2 linked regions of the Tribolium castaneum genome follow. The protein of the gene in region 2 purifies or fractionates together with the protein of the main gene of each other region. This does not show direct contact. Links are inferred from orthologs where the notes say so. Each region holds a gene or a part of one and is shown on either strand. Other genes may lie near its edges.

Region 1 (3,980 bases), on a different chromosome or scaffold from region 2:
AATAAACGAAACAATTTTTGAACGCTTTTTTCTTCATTAATTAATGAATCTTCTAACACAAACTACGATAACTACGCAATTATTTATTAGGAAACGTTTTTTCTGTCTATTTTACTTATTACAACCGTAAAAAAGCAAAAAAAAACAGACACATGGCAAACACCTTGAAAAAATAAAACAAATCAAATTTTGCAAGCTTATTTTTTCATTAATAATGAAAGAATCGTCTAGCCAGACTACCACAACTATGTAATTACTTAATTTGTAATTACGTATCTGGAGACTTCTAGTTTTCTTATTACAACCATAAAATTGAAAGAAAACAAACATGTGGCAAACACCTTAAAAAAATAAAACAAAACAATTTTCGAACGCTTTTTTCTTCATTAATTAATTAATCTTCCAACACAAACTACCACGACTATGTAATTATTTTTTTCTGTCTAGTTTTCTTATTACAACTATAAAAAGCAAAAAAAAAACAGACATATGGCAAACACGTTAAAAAAATAAAATTTTGCAAGGTTACTTTTTCATACTACCACAACTATGTAATAAATTATTTGGAGACTTTTCTTTTTATCTAATTTTCTTATTATAATCATAAAACTGAAAGAAAAAAACAAACAAGTGGCAAACACCTTAAAAAAAAACGAAATAATTTTCGAACGCTTTTTTCTTCATTAATTAATGAATCTTCTAGCCAGACAACCACAACTAATTTAATTGCTTTTTATTTATTAGGAGACTTTTCTTTCTATCTAGTTTCTTTTAATGACTATAAAATTAAAAGAAAATAACAGACATGTGGCAAACACTTTAAAAAAATTAAACGAAACAATTTTCGAACGCTTTTTTATTCATTAATTATTGAATCTTCTAGCACAAACTACCACAACAATCGTACATATTGTTTATTAGGAGACGTTCTTTTCTGTGTAGTTTTCTTACTACAACCATAAAATTGCAAGAAAAAAATAACAGATATGTAGCAAAAAAATACAACGAATCAGTTTTTGGAAGCTTTCTTTTTCATTAATGAATAAATCTTCTGACACAGACTAACACAACCACGTAATTATTTATTTAGAGACCTTTATTTCCGTTTAGTTTTCTTATCACAATCATAAAATGACAAAAAAAAACAAACGTGTGGCAAACACAAAAAAATGAATGAATTTTTGCAAGCTTTCTTTTTCATTAGTGGATAGATCTTCTAGCACAGATTACCGAAACTATATAGTTATCAGTAGTTATTTATACATATAGTGACGTTTCCTTCTTTCTAGTCTTCTTATTACAAACAAAATTGCAAGAAAAAGAAAGATGTGTGGCAAACACCTTAAAAAATAAAACGAATCAACTTTTGCACGCTTTCTTTTTTATCAATGAATAAATCTTCTAGCAGATGTTTTTCGGTCTAGTTTCTTAATACAAGCATAAAATGACAAGAAAAAAACAAACGGGTGGCAAACACTTTAAAAAAAAATAAAACGAAGCAATTTTGCACGTTGTCTTTTTCATTAATGACTAGAATATATAGATATGTAACGATAGATATGTAATTAATAATTATTTTCTTTTGGTCTACTTTCTTATTAAAAACATAAAAACGACAATAAAATTATGGCTAAAAATTTTCATAAAAAAACAATTACCAAAATATTCCCCTTCCTCCTCATGCTTCTCCATTTCCTCTTCAATCTGCCTAGTCATCTCCTCAATTTTCCTTTCTGCCTCCGTGGGCCCCCTTGGCCTCGGCGGTGTAACATTATAGGGCAACAAAGTCTTTCCACTCATTTTCAATTTCCCAGCACTCAAAGTACTACAAGCGCTGGGCGTGGGGCTCGGAACCGGTGGCGGTCTCACCTCAACTTTCTCCTTCACAATCGGACTTTTGGGCAAAACTGACGGCGTAGTGGCAATGCCAGTACCAGGCTCTCTATTGTAGTTTTTGGCAGTGGACGTTTGAAACGGCACGTTCGTACTCAAAGTGTGCGAGATATTCCCAGTCATACAGACATAATCACTGCTATTGATTTCATCCAGCTGTTGTTTAGTCAAATTTTTATTATAACTGGGGTAGTACGGGGCTTTGAGAACCGTTTTGTGCATTTGGGGGTACGTCTGTTGGTACGATTGGGTGGGGTATGGAGGCGGTGCTTGATTTGAAGGCACTTGGGGCCCCGGCGTAGCCCCGCTGGATTTCTGCCCCAAAGACTGCAAGTTTTCGTAAACGGGCAAAGCCTCACCATCACGCGTGATGTTGCGGTTGATTGAGGGGACTTGGGGCTGGGCTTTCCGGTAGTTACTTTCCATGGAGTGGTAGTAAGGGGGTTGGTAGTTCCGAGTGGAGTAGTAGTCGATGTTTTCGTAAACTGGGGTTTGGTTGGCCATGCTGGTTCGGGGGCTGCCGGAGTGTTGCGATGAGCCGCTTAAAGAGTGAGTGGGGCTCGCATTTGGGGGTACTTGGGGCTTAGCGCACTGGACGTAAATATCATTCTCTTCGACTTGCTTCTGTACTAGGGTCTCGACTTGTTTAGGAGTGGCGTATTTAGAACTGGCAATGATGTTGTTTCTTTCATACAAAGTGTAATCGTTTGATTTCTGCTGGGTCGGTCCTTCTGCTACGAAACTTTCGATGGCCCCCATCGATTTTTGTTTCTGGTGGTAAGGGGGCACCGCCGGCTCTGCCTTCCCCATGATGCGGCCGTACCGTGGATTCGAGTCGTTGAGGGACATGTACTGCATTTTTTGCTCGAACGACTGATCCAAAGAAGGATCCAAGTCACCGCGAAGGTTCGACATTATCACCAAATTGATTTAATCACAGAACGGCAGTTTTCACTTAAATTAAGTAACTCAATCGACATATTTCAATAATTACTCATAAATAAATACATAATTAACCGGAGATGAGGTAATAAAACGACCGAACGTAAAAAAAATGACAGCAAAATGACAGCGCCGCCATTAAAACAACAAACAAACAGGTTGGGCATCCCACGCGTAAACCGAAAAGTCACTAAAATTTTGAATAAAAATGGCCACCGCCATGGAGGACTTTTCTTCATGGTTAAGTCGCACTTTGGAGGAGTTAAACACGGATGAAAGTGTCTTCGGCTCGTACATTCAAGGCATTTTAGACAGCGATGAGTCCTGCGAGGAAAAATCCGAGGCCCTACAAGGAATACTTTCGGAAATAATTCAAAATGTGAGTTGTGTACCCCCACTCAAGCACCTTCACATGTCGCCTTTTTAGGAGGACGAAATAAATAAAATATGTAACGAAATCCTCGAGAAATGGCAGTTTCACAAACGCAAAGAGCCGCCCCCGGCTCAGAGCACCAGCGAGGACGTGGATACAAAACTTGTCAAATTACTAGAATCTCAGTCATTGGCCACCACCAAACAAAAAAAGTACACAGAAGAAGAGAAGAAAATTCGTGAGGCGATTTTGATGCAGTACTCGCAAATGACGGACGATGAGGACGAGGCCGAGGATGGGAATCAGGCAGGGGATCACAAAGAGAATGGCTTGGAAAAAAACACAAATGTACAGTCTGTCCTCCAAGCTGAGAAAGTGAAACGAGAACAGGCCAAACTTGATAGTCAGAGGAAGAAGGAAAAGGATAAGGAAGATAGGGAAAAGCAGAAACAGCTAAGAGAGGAAAAGAAGGAGAAGCGCAAGACTCAAAAAGGGGAAAGAAGAAGGTAGCGACGTTGAAAATTTGTAGGATTTTTTTGGTTTTTCTCGTGGTTCTATTGTGAATAATAAATGTTGATAAAATGGTTATTCTAGTAAGGCAAAAGCGACGAATATGTATTGAGACAAAGTTGATTTTTACAATTTTATGTATGGAGACGATTTATTTTTATAAACAGTCTGAATTTAAAAATGACCCTTGGTGTGGACTGTAGAATATTTTTAATAAATTACCTACTTAATATTAAAAACAAAACGTGTTTTAAGCCCTTTG
Region 2 (3,563 bases):
AATGAATTTGAAAAAAAAAGCTCAAAACATTTTTTATACAAAAAATGATACAATTCAATTTTCTTTTTTTTTAATGAAAACACCTTATATTTTATGCATTTTTAGATATACATGGTTGTTAATCAGAATGTTGTTTTTTACTATTAAATTTTGAAATACTTGTCAAAAAAACATTTTAAAAATATAAAAAATACAACAGAATATGTTTACCTAAGGGTGTTTAAGTAAGTTTGAATAATAAAAATTTCTGGACATAAAAAGAACTTTTAAACATAAAATACTTCCTTGTTTTGGATTTCGAGAATCTTCCTATAATATTTTCTTAAGTAATAATAATTTATTTATTAGTAATAAATAGTTAATAAATGTGCATTATAATGACTTCTAATGTTATTAATTTAAAAAAAAAAATTGTTCATTACACTTTATATTTATTAAAATTTATAAAAACAATGAAAACTGAAGTTTTGGGGCCATACCCTCTAGGATGCCTCTGGATCCGTCCTTATTTGAACTCTTTAATTTTGTGAGTTCGTGAGTTCTGCATTTACTTTTTTTGAATACATTAATTAAGTTCATGTGGTCTCATTCTACGAATTTTTTTGTAGCCACTTACGATACGTGTTTTAAAATCGTATGTGCATGTCTATTGTCTATTTTATTTTATATTATTTCTGTTTTAGATATCTATCTAAAATAATGCTGCTTGCATTGAAGATGAAGTATTTTTGAAATTCTTGATTTTTGAAATCTATAAGTAGGGGTCATTTGTTTTTTTAATAACACATACATTTTTCCAATTTTAATTTTTAACTTCCACGTATATCTTTTTTTAGTCCTGTCGTTATTGTGATTATTTTCTTTTTCAATATCCTAGTGAAGATCCTTATTACTATACCTCACAGATATTACATTTATGTTTAAAAGTACTTTTAAAACCAAAATAAGTTTCATGTAGGTTCTATGTCACTGTTGAAAAAACTGAAAGAATATTTGTCATGTTTAATGTTTTTTTTGTTTTAAAGCTACATGGCTTCGTAAAATGTTTTATAAATTAATTTTCTTATTGTATACTATTTCTTCGATAAATTATTCAATTAGAAATGCACGTAATTCAGATATATTGCCTTAATCTCAAAGCCGTATTGATCAGGAGTGGCGTTGAAATCTGACGATGTTTGTTGATTTTAGGTGATAAACTGGGAGACGACGTTGCAAATACCAAAGCAAGCGAATCTTTCCAAGGAAAGTACTGACTTGATATTAAAATTGTGTTGTAGTGCGGACAAACGCTTAGGTAAAAATGCTAGTGAAGTGAAGTCGCATCCGTTCTTCAAAGACATCGATTTCGACCGAGGTTTGCGTCGCCAGCCGGCCCCGCACATACCTCGAATCGAATACCCCACAGATACGTCAAATTTCGATCCGATCGATCCCGACAAGTTACGAAATTCGGCTTCGATCGATTCGAGCACTTCCGACGAACTGACCGATAGTTCTAAGCCGTTTCACGGCTTTTTCGAATTCACATTCAGGCGTTTTTTCGATGACGGAGGTGGTCCCGCTTTTAATAAAATCAGTCTAGACGATAATGACAATCAAGGCTCTGTGTATGTGTAATCTTCTTGGAAATGTTCCGAGATGGACCCTCGGAACATGGATTTTCGCTCGGTTTTTGCTCTTGCCAACTGGAATTTGTACGCAAGATTGTGTTTTTGCTCTCGTGTCTGGTTAGTTCAAATAAGGACTCCTAGGCCTTATTTAATGATGGTTTAGCGCCGCTTTCGTTACGGCACGCTTTTGAAGTGTGGCGTAACGGGGGCGGGGCTTGTTTTGCAACCAAAGCCTTAAAATAGCTGCCTTGTTCTACTTTTTATAGGAAAGCTCAAATTTTCATACTTTGGTAAGAACTGAAAGATTCTATAGTACAATTCGCTATTTGAATTAAAAAATTGTATAGCGTGTAAATTATTTAAAAATTGAAGAAATGGTGCTAATTCTTATTCATACGTTAAATGTGATATCCACTGAATGTCTATAAAAATTATTTCTGACTTGTTGGAGTGGTTGTTCTATTGCATTTATGTCGAGCTTTAGAGGCCTGGAACGCGAAGAAAGACCTCGATAGGCGGGGCTAGTGCGCAGTGGCGTAGCAATTAACTATTTAAATTGATACTTCCTACTATTCGTCCATATATTCAGTCGTAGCAATACAATAGGTACAAAAAGTTACATCTTGTTCTATTACACAAGAATAAAAAATTGTTATTTATTGTTTTGTAACAAAATAAATTCATAGATTGTTTGCGCACCCCCACCATCGCGGTCATTCTGTCATTTCACGGTCTCTACGGCGTCAACTGGCATTTAATTAAAAACAATTGGAATCGTTGAGGTGTTGTCACTGTGACTGAGCAGTTTTGAAATGTTTTTATGGACAGTCAGTTGTATGCAACAATAAATTATTATTGTATATTATGTACAATACTCTAGGGATTTGTAAATATAATTATATCGTCGAAGTGTAATGGTCGGTCTAAAGGTACTAACTAACCACTTGCGGGGTTTTTGTTAAGTTGTTAGATGGAAAAATTGTGAATTAGTTGAAGAGAGCAAGGAAAATTAACAAGCACTGCCTTTTTTAACTAAAAAGAATAAAAGCATTATTTAATAATCTTGCAGTAAATCAAAATAGTTTTGTAAGAGCATAATGTTTAATTTTTTTCTCAGAAAAAAAATGCTGTGTTACAATTAGTTTTAATGATACGCTCATAACTTAATGCTTAGTTAAATATTTATTACATTTCCCCTCATTCTAAAATTAATTTGTAACACCCTCCTAGCTTAAGTATGGATTAATTTAGCATATAATTTTTCTAGTCTATTGGAATTTTTTTATCGTTTAAATATATTATTGATTTAAATGTTGTTTATAGGTCATAATGTTGTTCCTTAATTATGCAAGAAAATAGTAAAAGCGTATGCACTTAGGAAATTATGATTTGAGTGCCTACATAGTGTAAATGTGTGTAAATAATTATATATTTTTGGAAACATCCCGTCTCTGATTTCCAACCTTGGGCTACGCCACTGCGTTGATGGGCAATGTGGCAGTGCACGCGCATGCGCAAACAATCGAAAATCTGACAGTTCAAAGGGGCGTTCTAATCTGCGAACAATAAAAGAAGAGTGGGTCGCCATTTTGTTCGCTATAAAATCGTAAAGATCTTACCAAAGTTATATAAAACATCCCTGACCGAAACCAAAACTTATCGTTTGAAATGTGTCTGTGATATAAACAGTGGAGTGTAAATAGCGGTATATTTGTGATATGCACTAATTGTCTGTGTGTTTTTATTTTGGTACATTTTGGAGAGGGTGCAGATCAGCTGAAGGGACAGAAAATGAGTTCGAAGGACGATGAATACGATTATTTGTTCAAAGGTAAGCGTCCAATTGGGGCCCTTGTTATCGCACTTTGACGTTGCGGACCTTGGAGGTAATTGACACTTGACGTAAATTTTGTTCCCGTGTGACAAGTCAGCAATGTCAGAGGTCAACTT

The links. The genes of interacting proteins can lie anywhere in the genome.
Region 1: the proteins of wts (region 2) and jub purify together in Drosophila melanogaster (affinity purification with western blotting; 4 studies listed by BioGRID). This does not show direct contact. The link is inferred for Tribolium castaneum from reciprocal best matches to the Drosophila melanogaster genes wts and jub.

The regions. Positions count from the first base shown.
Region 1 is NC_087398.1:13,261,952-13,265,931, forward strand, and holds the start of jub (LIM domain-containing protein jub), read right to left. Parts: upstream 2,809-3,980; coding exon 1,659-2,808; intron 1-1,658. Other genes in the region: coiled-coil domain-containing protein 43, read left to right, coding at 3,044-3,214, 3,263-3,718. UniProt on the Drosophila melanogaster protein: Regulates organ size by inhibiting apoptosis and promoting cell proliferation by influencing the expression of G1/S-specific cyclin-E (CycE) and apoptosis 1 inhibitor (th). Negatively regulates the Hippo signaling pathway.
Region 2 is NC_087397.1:10,557,613-10,561,175, reverse strand, and holds the end of wts (serine/threonine-protein kinase Warts), read left to right. Parts: intron 1-1,191; coding exon 1,192-1,620; 3' UTR 1,621-3,056; downstream 3,057-3,563. Other genes in the region: Rab11 (ras-related protein Rab-11A), read left to right, coding at 3,405-3,444. UniProt on the Drosophila melanogaster protein: Negative regulator of Yorkie (Yki) in the Hippo/SWH (Sav/Wts/Hpo) signaling pathway that plays a pivotal role in organ size control and tumor suppression by restricting proliferation and promoting apoptosis.